Saccharomyces cerevisiae S288C: one gene and its partners. The protein of the gene in region 1 purifies or fractionates together with the protein of each later gene. This does not show direct contact. Each region holds a gene or a part of one and is shown on either strand. Other genes may lie near its edges.

What was found.
Region 2: the proteins of PWP2 (region 1) and RRP5 purify together in Saccharomyces cerevisiae (affinity purification with mass spectrometry, with the first as the bait; 6 studies listed by BioGRID). This does not show direct contact.
Region 3: the proteins of PWP2 (region 1) and BUD21 purify together in Saccharomyces cerevisiae (affinity purification with mass spectrometry, with the first as the bait; 5 studies listed by BioGRID). This does not show direct contact.

The regions. Positions count from the first base shown.
Region 1 is NC_001135.5:219,930-224,776, reverse strand, and holds PWP2 (snoRNA-binding rRNA-processing protein PWP2), read left to right. Parts: upstream 1-1,548; coding exon 1,549-4,320; downstream 4,321-4,847. Other genes in the region: TAH1 (Tah1p), read right to left, coding at 43-378; YIH1 (Yih1p), read left to right, coding at 547-1,323; CTR86 (Ctr86p), read left to right, coding at 4,710-4,847. UniProt on the Saccharomyces cerevisiae protein: Required for bud-site selection and cell separation. Also involved in nucleolar processing of pre-18S ribosomal RNA.
Region 2 is NC_001145.3:725,434-733,096, reverse strand, and holds RRP5 (Rrp5p), read left to right. Parts: upstream 1-1,973; coding exon 1,974-7,163; downstream 7,164-7,663. Other genes in the region: 40S ribosomal protein eS10 RPS10B, read right to left, coding at 1-221, 632-683; MTF1 (RNA polymerase specificity factor), read right to left, coding at 7,446-7,663.
Region 3 is NC_001147.6:471,143-473,869, forward strand, and holds BUD21 (Bud21p), read left to right. Parts: upstream 1-1,582; coding exon 1,583-2,227; downstream 2,228-2,727. Other genes in the region: SKI7 (Ski7p), read right to left, coding at 1-478; RTS2 (Rts2p), read left to right, coding at 757-1,455; Mn(2+) transporter ATX2, read right to left, coding at 2,333-2,727. UniProt on the Saccharomyces cerevisiae protein: Functions as part of the small subunit (SSU) processome, first precursor of the small eukaryotic ribosomal subunit that coordinates the first two steps of ribosome biogenesis in transcription of the primary transcript pre-RNA and pre-18S processing.

The sequences.
Region 1 (4,847 bases):
ATAATTTTAAAGATAAATTAGAAGTGTTCCCTTTCTCTTTTCTCAGGACCGGTCGTATCCCTCCGGTAGTTCATCAACCTCTACAACAGGGATCTGTACTGAACCTACCGCTCCCTGTGCCAGCTCTAGACGATATTGCAATTTGGATCTGATAGCTACATGCTCTGCCGTTGAGGTGTACCGCAGTCCTTGCTGGCACATTTGAATAGCCTGTGTATATTCACCCAGTTTGATCAGCGCCATGGCTTTGTTGCTGTACCCGACCGGGTTCTGCGGTTGAGCAGTAATTAGTTGGTCATAACAGTGCACAGCCTCGCGATACAGGCCCTGTTTGAACAAAGAATTGCCCTGTTCCTTCTGCTTTTCAAATTGGCTCATGCTCTTTACCGTTGCTCTCTCTTTCGCAGTGCTGAAAAGAAAAAACCGTTCAAGAAAATTGCGTCTTGTGCAGTCATATACGCTGGGATATATATATATATAGATATATATACATATATATAGGAATATGTAACAAGAAAAAAAAAAGAGAGAGGAAAGAAAAGCTCAATGGATGACGATCACGAACAGTTGGTCGAAGAACTGGAGGCCGTCGAGGCCATCTATCCGGATCTTCTCTCCAAGAAGCAGGAAGACGGAAGCATCATCGTTGTGAAAGTGCCGCAGCATGAATACATGACACTGCAGATCTCCTTCCCGACACACTACCCCTCCGAGGAGGCTCCTAATGTCATCGAAGTTGGTGTCTGCACTTCTTTGGCTAAGCGCGATCTCTACGATACCAAGTACCTTCAGCATTTGTTCCAGGAAGTGATGGACTCTGTTTTCCACCGCGGATCTGTCTGTCTATTTGACTTCCTCACAGAACTCGACGGTGTCTTGTACGTTGAACCAGAGGAGGAGACAGAACCGGTCCAGCAGAGTGACATTCCCACAGACCCCTTCGAGGGCTGGACCGCGTCGGACCCCATTACTGATAGAGGCTCGACTTTCATGGCCTTTGCAGCACATGTTACCTCCGAGGAACAAGCGTTTGCCATGCTAGACCTACTGAAGACCGACTCCAAGATGCGTAAGGCAAACCATGTCATGAGTGCATGGCGAATCAAGCAGGATGGCTCTGCGGCAACATATCAAGATTCCGATGATGACGGTGAAACGGCCGCCGGCTCCAGAATGCTGCACCTCATCACCATCATGGATGTGTGGAACGTCATCGTTGTGGTGGCCCGTTGGTTCGGCGGTGCCCACATAGGTCCCGACCGGTTTAAACACATCAATTCTACGGCAAGAGAAGCTGTTGTCAGGGCCGGCTTCGACTCGTAATCATTATGATTATGTCAAGCACCTGTAACCTTGATCACATGCGACGGGAGTTCTTTTTGAAATTTTTTGGAAAAATTTTGCGATGAGCTGAAAGATGAAAAAAAAAAAAGTTTCGAGTATAGTTCTAGGTATGTACAATAACTAGTATAATATCAATAATAGTAATAATAGTATCGTTTTCAACAGGTAGACAGGAGAGCAGACCGCAGATTGAACCGCATCCCAATGAAATCCGATTTCAAGTTCTCTAACCTTTTAGGTACGGTCTACAGGCAAGGTAACATCACCTTTTCCGATGATGGCAAGCAACTACTCTCACCGGTGGGGAATAGGGTCAGCGTGTTTGACTTAATCAACAACAAATCGTTCACGTTTGAATACGAGCATCGCAAAAATATTGCTGCCATTGATCTGAACAAACAAGGCACATTGCTGATTTCTATTGACGAGGACGGTCGCGCCATCCTTGTCAATTTCAAAGCCCGTAACGTGCTTCACCATTTCAACTTCAAAGAAAAATGCTCCGCTGTGAAGTTCAGCCCTGATGGGAGACTCTTTGCATTAGCCTCAGGCAGGTTTTTACAGATTTGGAAGACTCCAGATGTTAATAAAGACAGACAGTTTGCTCCCTTCGTCCGCCATAGGGTGCATGCGGGACACTTTCAAGACATAACGTCTTTGACGTGGTCACAAGATTCCAGATTTATCCTTACGACTTCCAAAGACTTAAGCGCAAAAATATGGTCCGTAGATTCAGAGGAAAAGAACCTTGCGGCGACAACATTTAATGGGCACAGAGACTACGTTATGGGTGCGTTCTTCAGTCATGATCAGGAAAAAATCTACACTGTAAGCAAAGACGGTGCTGTCTTTGTCTGGGAATTTACCAAGAGGCCATCCGATGACGACGACAATGAAAGTGAAGACGACGACAAGCAAGAAGAAGTAGATATTTCGAAATACAGCTGGAGAATCACAAAGAAACATTTTTTTTACGCAAACCAAGCCAAAGTAAAGTGTGTCACCTTCCATCCAGCAACAAGGCTTTTAGCTGTCGGATTTACTAGTGGGGAATTCCGTCTTTACGATTTGCCTGATTTCACTTTGATTCAACAGCTTTCTATGGGGCAAAACCCAGTCAACACCGTTAGCGTCAACCAAACCGGCGAATGGCTGGCGTTTGGTTCCAGCAAACTGGGCCAATTACTAGTTTACGAATGGCAATCGGAATCGTATATCTTGAAGCAGCAGGGCCATTTCGATTCCACAAATAGTCTTGCATACTCTCCGGATGGTTCACGTGTAGTGACAGCATCCGAAGATGGGAAAATCAAAGTTTGGGACATTACATCAGGGTTTTGTTTGGCCACTTTTGAAGAACACACCTCTTCAGTTACTGCTGTACAGTTTGCGAAAAGGGGTCAGGTCATGTTCTCATCATCGTTAGATGGTACGGTGAGAGCGTGGGACTTAATCAGGTATCGTAATTTTAGAACATTCACTGGTACTGAAAGAATCCAATTCAATTGTTTAGCGGTGGATCCATCAGGTGAAGTGGTTTGTGCCGGGTCCCTGGACAATTTTGACATTCATGTTTGGTCCGTGCAAACTGGTCAATTATTAGATGCTTTGTCCGGACATGAAGGCCCTGTTTCGTGTCTTTCATTTAGTCAAGAGAACAGTGTCTTAGCTTCTGCATCATGGGATAAAACAATTAGAATCTGGTCCATATTTGGTAGAAGCCAACAAGTAGAACCTATAGAAGTTTATTCCGATGTTTTAGCCTTATCAATGAGACCAGATGGTAAAGAAGTTGCAGTATCTACCTTAAAGGGTCAAATATCCATTTTCAACATAGAAGATGCCAAGCAGGTGGGCAACATTGACTGTAGAAAGGATATAATATCTGGTAGGTTTAATCAAGATAGGTTCACTGCCAAAAATTCTGAACGATCCAAATTTTTTACTACAATACATTACAGTTTTGATGGTATGGCTATTGTGGCTGGTGGTAATAATAACTCCATTTGTCTATATGATGTTCCAAATGAAGTCTTGTTAAAAAGATTCATTGTGTCCAGAAACATGGCTTTGAATGGTACTCTCGAATTTTTAAACAGTAAGAAAATGACTGAAGCAGGTTCATTAGATTTGATTGACGATGCAGGCGAAAATTCAGATTTGGAGGATCGTATTGATAATTCTTTACCAGGGTCTCAAAGAGGTGGCGACCTGTCCACAAGAAAAATGAGACCAGAGGTTAGAGTTACTTCGGTGCAATTCTCCCCAACGGCGAATGCATTTGCCGCTGCTTCAACGGAAGGTTTATTGATATATTCCACCAATGACACGATATTATTTGATCCCTTTGATCTGGATGTGGACGTCACCCCCCATTCTACTGTAGAGGCGCTACGAGAAAAGCAGTTTTTAAATGCATTAGTAATGGCGTTCAGGTTAAATGAAGAATATTTGATCAATAAAGTCTATGAAGCCATACCTATTAAGGAAATCCCCTTGGTTGCAAGTAATATTCCTGCAATATATTTACCGAGGATTCTGAAGTTCATCGGTGATTTTGCCATTGAATCCCAACACATTGAGTTTAACCTAATTTGGATCAAAGCTCTATTATCTGCGAGCGGTGGTTACATAAATGAACACAAATATCTCTTCTCGACGGCTATGAGGTCGATACAAAGATTTATTGTTAGAGTGGCTAAGGAAGTAGTCAATACCACTACTGATAACAAATACACCTATAGATTTTTGGTATCAACTGATGGGTCCATGGAAGATGGCGCGGCTGATGATGACGAGGTTCTATTAAAAGATGACGCAGATGAAGATAACGAAGAGAACGAAGAGAACGATGTAGTCATGGAATCTGACGACGAGGAAGGATGGATTGGTTTCAATGGGAAGGATAACAAATTACCCTTGTCTAATGAAAATGATTCCAGTGATGAAGAAGAAAATGAGAAAGAGCTTCCTTGAAAAATATTCACTGTCCTCTATTTATGCACATTCACATCATGTATTCCCCAAGTATAGAACTATATAAAGCATTACATTTGTATTTAATATCAACAAAAAAAAATATCATCGCCAATATCGATATACATCATGATGAGAGCGCCTAATATAAACTGAGGCTACCATTACGGGAGTCGTCCTTTGACTGACGAGGCTATTTTCCTTATATATAAGGCATCATCGCTTCAGTAAAAAAAAAAATAGGAAGGGAAAAAATGAAGAATTGATGGGATGAGGAAAAAATTTGACACAAATTTATCGACTACCGTTTCATACTATCATCGGGAGAACAATTACACTAAGCCTTATAAAATTATTGATTCATCAAAAAAGAAGATAACTAAATAACAATGCCTATGAACAATTTTCTAGATGAATTCAATTTATTTGATTCAATCATTACCATGATGAAGAACGACCCATGTTGCGTCGAGGATTATGAGCCAATCGTCGAAAACCTGAACCGTATATTTCAAAGGACGTTTAAT
Region 2 (7,663 bases), on another chromosome or scaffold:
GTAGGTACCTGGGACAATGTGTTCAGGCAAGTTCAAGTATTCTCTCAAGTATTCAACACCTTCTTCAGTCAAAGTGTAATAGTAGTATTGCCATGAGAATTGAGTCTTAACGTAACCCTTAGAAGTCAAGGATTGCAAAGCCTTGATAACATACAAGTTCTTGGTATCAATTTCTTCGTGCTTAGCTTGGTTGAAATCCTTCTTAGCGACGACAACACCTTCTATTTCGATATGCGATCGTAATTCAATGATCTTCCTTGTTAGTAATAATATTTCTTACGATATCATGATTTCAATTGTTTGTGGTCCTTTTGCAATAATACGGAAACTCCGGAAACTGTAAAGTAAATGATATAATCGCTTTGATCATAATATTAGCATTTCTATAAGGACTCAAAAGTTCAAACATTATAAAAATGGACGCGTGAAATAATGGAATTCTGCTTAGGTTGCACTTTTCTTTCGGATTCATGCACTGCCGTACTTGTCCACAAAGATCTTTTTGAAACAATCGGTTTTCTACCACTTTTAATGATATTCAAGTTCAATTTAATTGTATTTTCATTTATCATCTTTGCTATCCATTTCGGAGCATATCACTGCATATTTCACCTAAAAAATGCAAACATACCTTGAAACAAGTATTGGTGAATTTTGTTTCTTTCTTGCTTTGGCATCAACATCTTGAACGGTTAGTTATGATCTGTGTTTTCTTGGTTTCAGTTGTGCTAGTTCTACCCCATTTCAAATAACATGTATCCAAAGACGTATACCTTTAATTCCTATATTGTTTTGAAAAACTCAGGCTTCCAACTCGGAAACTATTTTGAGACGCAACTTAAAAATCGTGAAAAGGGCATATACACCCACACATGCGCGATGTGCGGATGTATTATGTCTTGATTTTATAAGACGCCGATCCAAAAAATGACAAAATAAATCTGCGAACTCTAAGAACTATATGTCACTAAAATAATTATTAAAAAAGATCAAATTACCCAGATTTGAGTGTTGTAACTTAAATCAATTGAAAAACACCGGAAGACAACGTAGCCAAATTATAGGCTTGATAGCAACTTTTTTTTAGTATGTCTCACATCTAAATCCAAAAAAAAATAAGTGCTCACCATTGATGGTATATTTCCTACTCTTTAGCTTTATATGAACTCGATCAATATTTGATGGCTATTAAGTGGCTTTACCTAAATGGTCATATACACAGGGTCGAAACAAACAGCAGGCGAAACACTTCATCCGGCGGTAAAAAACTACTTCAGTACATCTCTCTCTTGAGCTTATTCTCTAATTTTCCAATGTTAAAAAGTTTGATATGCCATGAAAAAGGTTCTTGTTCAGCGGTTTATCCTAATTAATAGAAAACATATCAATTCCAGTGCGTAAGAGGTTTCCATATGCTTTTCATTTTGCTAAACAGATATTAAACAGGGTTTAAGGCAAAAAACGTAAATCCCAACAATATGTATTACGCAGTTACTGAGAATATTCAATCCTGAACTCTGTTGTTAAACTCTTTTATAAATATCCTGCTCGTTATTTATAGTGCTATTATTTGTGTATGATTTTTCAACTACATAATTGGTAAGTACATATAGGAAAACATTATTCTGGCCAGATGGATGCTTGTTTCTGGGCTTACTTTATTCAACAAATTATTAGTAGACGTAAACTTACTTGTTGCCGCGGTACATATTTCACCATTAGAGAGTTTATTGTCACTACATTGGCCAGTCATTCAATGCCCGCGTGCAAAGTGATCTAAGTCGTTTCTGATTCCGAAAAATTTTGAAAAATTTTAAGATGAGATGAGCTAAACCCTTCTATACATTAGCAGCAACTGAAGAAAGCTCAGTAAGGTTCGTCTATTCATTTTTATTTAAAGCTATTAGTATCTACTACTACAGTCTGAATCAAGGACCGTTTAATATAAAAAACACACCTGTACTGTTGCAAAAATGGTAGCTTCCACCAAAAGAAAGAGAGATGAAGATTTTCCACTTTCGAGGGAAGACTCCACAAAGCAGCCCTCTACCTCATCATTAGTAAGGAACACTGAGGAAGTCTCTTTTCCAAGGGGTGGTGCGTCTGCTTTGACTCCTTTAGAACTGAAACAAGTTGCTAACGAAGCTGCAAGTGATGTGTTATTTGGTAATGAAAGTGTCAAAGCATCTGAACCAGCAAGTAGACCCTTGAAAAAGAAGAAGACAACAAAGAAATCCACTTCTAAAGATTCCGAGGCCTCATCAGCAAACTCTGATGAAGCTAGAGCTGGACTAATTGAACATGTCAACTTTAAAACGTTGAAGAATGGCTCTTCTTTGCTTGGTCAGATTTCTGCTATCACTAAACAAGATTTATGTATAACATTCACAGACGGAATTTCTGGTTATGTGAACCTAACACATATCTCAGAAGAATTTACTTCGATTTTGGAAGATCTGGATGAAGATATGGATAGTGATACTGATGCTGCTGATGAGAAAAAATCCAAAGTTGAAGATGCAGAATACGAATCGTCCGACGACGAAGATGAAAAATTAGATAAATCTAATGAATTACCTAATTTAAGAAGGTACTTTCACATTGGTCAATGGCTAAGATGCTCTGTCATCAAGAATACCTCTTTAGAACCATCAACTAAGAAATCCAAAAAGAAGAGAATAGAGTTAACCATCGAACCTTCATCCGTCAACATATACGCAGATGAAGATTTGGTTAAATCCACGTCTATTCAATGCGCGGTCAAATCCATCGAGGATCACGGTGCTACCTTAGATGTTGGTCTGCCAGGCTTTACAGGGTTCATTGCTAAGAAGGATTTTGGCAATTTTGAAAAATTATTGCCGGGGGCTGTTTTCTTAGGTAATATCACCAAAAAATCCGACAGATCAATTGTTGTAAATACAGACTTTTCGGACAAGAAAAACAAAATTACTCAAATCTCCTCAATTGATGCCATTATCCCTGGTCAAATCGTCGACTTATTGTGTGAATCAATCACTAAAAATGGTATTGCCGGTAAAGTTTTTGGGTTAGTATCCGGTGTTGTCAACGTATCACATTTAAGAACATTTTCCGAAGAAGATTTAAAGCATAAATTTGTTATTGGTTCTAGTATTAGATGCCGAATTATTGCTTGTTTAGAAAACAAAAGCGGTGACAAGGTCTTGATTTTGTCAAACCTTCCACACATTTTAAAACTAGAAGACGCTTTGAGATCTACTGAAGGTCTTGATGCATTCCCTATCGGCTACACATTTGAATCATGCAGCATTAAAGGGCGTGATTCCGAATATCTATACTTAGCATTGGATGATGATAGATTAGGTAAAGTACATTCTTCAAGAGTTGGTGAAATTGAAAATTCAGAAAATTTAAGTTCCAGGGTCCTTGGTTATAGCCCTGTTGATGACATTTATCAATTGTCCACTGATCCAAAATACCTAAAATTAAAGTATCTAAGAACAAATGATATTCCAATCGGAGAATTATTACCAAGTTGTGAAATAACTTCCGTCTCTAGTTCAGGTATTGAATTGAAGATATTTAACGGGCAATTTAAGGCTTCTGTTCCACCATTACACATTTCAGATACCAGGCTAGTTTATCCAGAAAGGAAGTTCAAGATAGGTTCTAAGGTTAAAGGTAGAGTTATATCAGTTAATTCAAGAGGTAATGTGCATGTCACTTTGAAAAAATCATTAGTTAATATTGAAGACAACGAATTACCACTGGTTTCCACTTATGAAAACGCCAAAAATATCAAAGAAAAAAATGAAAAGACTTTAGCAACTATTCAAGTTTTCAAACCAAATGGTTGCATCATTTCCTTTTTTGGTGGTTTATCGGGATTTTTACCTAATTCTGAGATCTCAGAAGTCTTTGTGAAGAGACCAGAAGAACATTTAAGACTCGGTCAAACAGTAATAGTAAAACTTCTTGACGTCGATGCTGACAGGAGGAGAATTATTGCCACATGCAAAGTTTCAAATGAACAGGCTGCCCAACAAAAAGATACCATTGAAAATATTGTTCCAGGCAGAACAATCATTACTGTCCATGTTATCGAAAAAACCAAAGATTCTGTTATTGTTGAAATTCCTGATGTTGGCTTGCGTGGTGTCATCTACGTTGGTCATCTCTCTGATTCCAGAATTGAACAAAATAGGGCTCAGTTGAAAAAGCTCAGAATCGGCACTGAACTGACTGGTTTGGTAATTGATAAAGATACAAGAACCCGCGTTTTCAATATGTCCCTCAAAAGTTCTCTGATTAAAGACGCTAAAAAGGAGACTCTTCCATTAACATATGATGATGTTAAGGATCTAAATAAAGATGTACCAATGCACGCTTACATTAAATCCATTTCTGATAAGGGTCTCTTTGTTGCATTTAACGGTAAGTTCATTGGGTTGGTTTTACCAAGTTACGCTGTTGATAGTAGGGATATTGATATCAGCAAGGCGTTTTATATTAACCAATCCGTTACCGTCTATTTATTAAGAACAGACGACAAAAACCAGAAATTCCTATTATCTCTAAAAGCTCCAAAGGTCAAAGAAGAGAAGAAGAAAGTTGAATCTAATATCGAAGATCCTGTTGATTCGTCTATCAAAAGCTGGGACGATTTGTCTATTGGTAGTATTGTTAAAGCAAAAATCAAGAGCGTCAAGAAAAATCAATTGAATGTTATTTTAGCGGCAAATTTGCATGGCAGAGTGGACATTGCTGAAGTGTTTGACACGTATGAAGAAATTACAGATAAGAAACAGCCGTTGAGTAATTACAAAAAAGACGATGTCATCAAGGTAAAAATCATAGGTAATCACGATGTCAAGAGCCATAAGTTCTTGCCGATTACACACAAAATCTCAAAGGCTAGCGTTTTGGAATTATCCATGAAACCATCAGAATTAAAATCTAAGGAAGTGCACACAAAAAGTCTTGAGGAAATCAACATTGGGCAAGAGTTAACTGGCTTTGTCAACAATTCATCAGGTAACCACCTATGGCTAACAATTTCTCCAGTTTTGAAGGCGAGAATTTCTCTACTAGATTTAGCTGATAACGATTCAAATTTTTCAGAAAATATTGAATCTGTTTTCCCATTAGGTTCAGCCCTCCAAGTGAAAGTTGCCTCTATTGACCGCGAGCATGGCTTTGTCAATGCCATTGGAAAGAGTCATGTTGACATAAATATGTCCACAATTAAAGTTGGTGATGAATTGCCAGGTCGTGTTCTAAAAATAGCTGAAAAGTATGTTTTGTTAGACCTTGGTAACAAAGTGACTGGTATTTCCTTTATTACGGATGCGTTAAATGATTTCTCCCTAACATTGAAGGAAGCTTTTGAAGACAAAATTAACAACGTCATTCCAACTACCGTTTTATCTGTTGATGAACAGAATAAGAAAATTGAACTATCCCTTCGTCCTGCTACTGCAAAAACTCGTTCGATCAAATCTCATGAAGATTTGAAGCAAGGCGAGATTGTAGATGGTATTGTTAAGAATGTGAATGACAAAGGTATTTTTGTTTACTTGAGTAGGAAAGTTGAAGCCTTTGTCCCTGTTAGTAAACTATCTGATTCTTACTTGAAGGAATGGAAGAAGTTTTACAAGCCTATGCAATACGTTTTGGGAAAAGTCGTTACATGCGATGAAGATTCTCGTATTTCTCTAACCCTAAGAGAATCCGAAATAAATGGTGATTTAAAGGTTCTAAAGACCTATTCAGACATTAAGGCTGGTGATGTTTTCGAGGGTACAATTAAAAGCGTCACTGATTTTGGTGTTTTCGTCAAACTAGATAACACTGTTAATGTTACTGGTTTGGCACATATTACTGAAATTGCGGACAAAAAACCTGAAGATCTTTCTGCCTTGTTTGGTGTTGGGGACAGAGTAAAAGCTATTGTTTTGAAAACAAATCCAGAAAAAAAACAAATTTCATTGAGCTTGAAAGCGTCTCATTTCTCTAAAGAAGCCGAATTGGCTTCTACTACCACCACCACTACTACTGTGGATCAACTGGAAAAGGAGGATGAAGATGAAGTCATGGCAGATGCTGGCTTCAACGATTCCGACAGCGAATCTGATATCGGAGACCAAAACACCGAAGTTGCCGATAGGAAGCCTGAAACATCTTCGGATGGGCTATCCTTGAGTGCTGGTTTTGATTGGACTGCTTCCATTTTGGATCAAGCGCAAGAAGAAGAAGAGTCTGACCAAGATCAAGAAGACTTTACTGAAAATAAGAAACACAAGCACAAGAGAAGAAAGGAAAATGTTGTTCAGGATAAGACCATTGATATCAACACTAGGGCACCAGAATCTGTTGCCGATTTTGAACGTCTACTTATCGGTAATCCAAATTCGTCCGTAGTGTGGATGAACTATATGGCTTTCCAACTACAACTGAGTGAGATCGAGAAGGCTCGAGAGCTCGCAGAACGTGCGCTAAAGACCATCAACTTCAGAGAAGAAGCCGAGAAGTTGAATATTTGGATTGCAATGCTGAATTTAGAAAATACTTTTGGTACCGAAGAAACTTTAGAAGAAGTGTTTAGCAGGGCTTGTCAGTATATGGACTCATATACTATTCATACAAAACTGCTTGGTATTTATGAAATAAGTGAAAAGTTCGACAAAGCAGCAGAATTATTCAAAGCTACAGCTAAGAAATTTGGCGGCGAGAAAGTTTCTATCTGGGTATCGTGGGGTGATTTTTTGATCAGCCACAATGAAGAGCAAGAGGCACGTACTATTTTAGGTAATGCTTTGAAGGCCCTACCAAAGCGTAATCATATCGAGGTTGTCCGCAAGTTTGCTCAATTAGAATTTGCAAAGGGTGACCCAGAAAGGGGTCGGTCATTATTCGAAGGTTTGGTTGCTGATGCGCCAAAGAGAATTGACCTGTGGAACGTTTACGTAGACCAGGAAGTGAAGGCAAAAGATAAGAAGAAGGTGGAAGATTTATTTGAGAGAATAATAACCAAAAAAATAACAAGGAAGCAGGCTAAGTTTTTCTTTAATAAATGGTTACAATTTGAGGAATCTGAAGGTGACGAAAAGACCATTGAATACGTTAAAGCTAAAGCTACTGAGTATGTCGCTAGCCATGAATCTCAAAAAGCAGACGAATAATTCCTGATGGATTTTTAACTGTAAAGTAATATAAATGGCTAAGTTTGTAAAGTATATTTGTAAAGTACATAGAATGTAAAGTTTCAAGAAGCAATTTCTATCGATCAATTTAGCTTTGACGGTTCGTAGAGCTCCTTTTCTTAAAGTTTTAGTTCCGCTTCTCGCTTCTTGATTACAAGATGGTTCCGTGTTAACGAAGATTGAGTTCTATGTATTTTTTATATTCACACGCTAAAATCACATATTTATTAAATAATGAAGTAAATTTTAAAAGCACTTTTTTCAACCAGAGTGCTCTGTTTGATACATATCAACAAAATCCATTAAAATATCTGGTTTGAAAGGCCACTCCATGAATAATTTCGTTAGATATATAAACTCGTCATTTGTCAAATCAATCGGACACTTTTTTAGCAGATCTTTGTCAGTGATTCTACTATTAAAATATTGTTGGCCACCATGTCCCAGCGAGTCCATGACAGTATTCAAGGGTGTTCTTT
Region 3 (2,727 bases), on another chromosome or scaffold:
TTTTATCTTTTATGATAAAGTTTGTGAACGCAAAATCGTCGGTTTGATTTATGCATGGATCGTTTTTCAAGAAACAGTAATGGTTCATTTCTTTAATAGCCTTCCATGACTCTTCTAAGTTGAGTTTATCATCAGGCGATTTCCTTTTGGTAGGGAGTTCGTTTTCTTTGCTGTCTAATGTCACTGATTTTCCTTGTTTCTCCAAATCACTATTTGACTTCTTTAAGGCAGACAACTTTAAACTCAATGAAACACTATGCTGGTTCGGGGTAAAGTCGCTTCTTTTTACCTTGTCTTTTGCAAGTAGCGTCTTCAGATCCTTCCTTTTTGTCTCAGCATTGTTATCTTTAGTTTCTCTATTCTTATGTAGTCTTTCTAGTAAGGATGCACTTTTCGATGTACTATGAGACTGGTCCGCACTTAAAAGGCCTTTAGATTTTTCTATTCTTTTTCTTGCTAATTGCTCTAATAACGACATGTCAGGTGGTACTGTAAGTTTCGAAGACCACCTCCTCGTACGTGTATTGTAGAAGGGTCTCTAGGTTTATACCTCCAATCTGTTATAGTACATATTATAGTACACCAATGTAAATCTGGTCCGGGTTACACAACACTTTGTCCTGTACTTTGAAAACTGGAAAAACTCCGCTAGTTGAAATTAATATCAAATGGAAAAGTCAGTATCATCATTCTTTTCTTGACAAGTCCTAAAAAGAGCGAAAACACAGGGTTGTTTGATTGTAGAAAATCACAGCGATGGCAGATTATGATAGTGCGAAATATTGGTCCAAGCAGGGAGCTCGTCGTGGGTTACAGAAAACCCGTTACTACTGCCAAATATGCCAAAGGCAATGTAAAGATGCAAACGGATTTCAATCACATAACAAATCGCCATCTCATTTAAGGAAGATTAGTCAAGTGACAGCTGAGGACGCTAGGCGCTACAATATCCAGTTTGAAAAGGGATTTCTACAGTTATTGAAGCAGCGGCACGGAGAAAAATGGATTGATGCTAACAAAGTATACAACGAGTATGTTCAAGATCGCGATCATGTACATATGAATGCCACCATGCATCGTTCTTTGACGCAGTTTGTCCGGTACCTAGGCCGCGCGGGCAAGGTAGACGTGGATATGGATATTGATGATACATCTGAGAACGTTGAAGGTCCTTTGCTTATCAGGATCCATCCCTCATCTTTATCATCACCTTCTGAAGATGGAATGCTGCGAAGTCAACAAGAGGAGCAAGAAGTCATAGCCGCCGAGCTTTTGAAAAGACAACTCAATCGTGCTAAGCGACAAACTGAAAAGGTATATCAACCAGAGATGAAATCGGAAATTAGCGGGGATAGCACTCTGAAACGTGTTCAAGTCACCTTCCACGGGAATGGTCGGGTAAATAAAAAGAAAAAGAAGGTTCCTCCACGGAAAGATGGTATCAAGTTCCGTTGATTGAAAATTTTTCTTTTCAAGCGATGAGGTTAGCGAAGTTGTTCGAACAAGCCCAAATATGTTTAGAAGGCAGTACGAATTGATACCCTGAACTGTTACTACCCGTATACACGTATTAAGTAAGACAATGAGTAATGGACACGTCAAGTTTGATGCCGATGAAAGTCAAGCCAGCGCAAGTGCTGTCACGGATAGACAAGATGATGTGCTGGTAATATCAAAAAAGGACAAGGAAGTGCATTCAAGTAGTGATGAGGAAAGTGATGATGATGATGCTCCACAAGAAGAAGGGCTTCACTCTGGGAAAAGTGAGGTAGAATCACAGATCACTCAGAGGGAGGAGGCTATAAGGCTGGAACAATCACAATTGCGGTCCAAGAGAAGGAAGCAAAATGAATTATACGCCAAGCAAAAGAAATCAGTGAATGAGACAGAGGTCACTGATGAAGTAATTGCGGAGCTTCCTGAGGAATTGCTAAAAAATATAGATCAGAAGGACGAAGGTAGTACGCAGTACTCATCTTCAAGACATGTAACTTTCGATAAATTGGATGAGTCAGATGAAAATGAAGAGGCATTGGCTAAAGCTATAAAAACTAAGAAAAGGAAGACATTAAAAAATTTAAGGAAAGATTCGGTGAAAAGAGGAAAATTTAGAGTTCAATTGTTATCCACCACACAAGATTCTAAAACATTACCACCAAAGAAAGAATCATCCATCATACGTTCAAAAGACCGTTGGCTAAATAGAAAGGCTTTGAATAAAGGGTAATATATAGCATACAACATAATAAAATAATAGTACAATCACAAAATTAATCATAATGTTCATTTATCTATAATCAAACAATGAGAATATATACTGAAGTTTGGTAGGTTATTCTTCAGAGATGCAGTACGATATCACCAACGGTATGCAGACACCTATCAAAACATAAACGGATTCATCATGAGGTAAAACGACTTCCTGTTCAACGCTGAGATCGTGATCATGAGAATCTCCACCAACAAATGCTGTGAAAGACGCATATAGTAAACTGCCACCACTCATAAGCAGAAGATTTCCACTTATCCAATCCATCGTTGGCGAATGACTCAGATTCAAAAGGGATAACACTATGTATCCGATCGGAGTCGATGACGCAAACAAGAAAACGTTACAGATCACCTCCCATTTCATTAAGTTTTGTCTCGATACCATCAAACTAGTGAGGGAAAGAACGGCAGGAATTTTATGAATAACTATAGCAATTAACACCACTATGAGCAGTG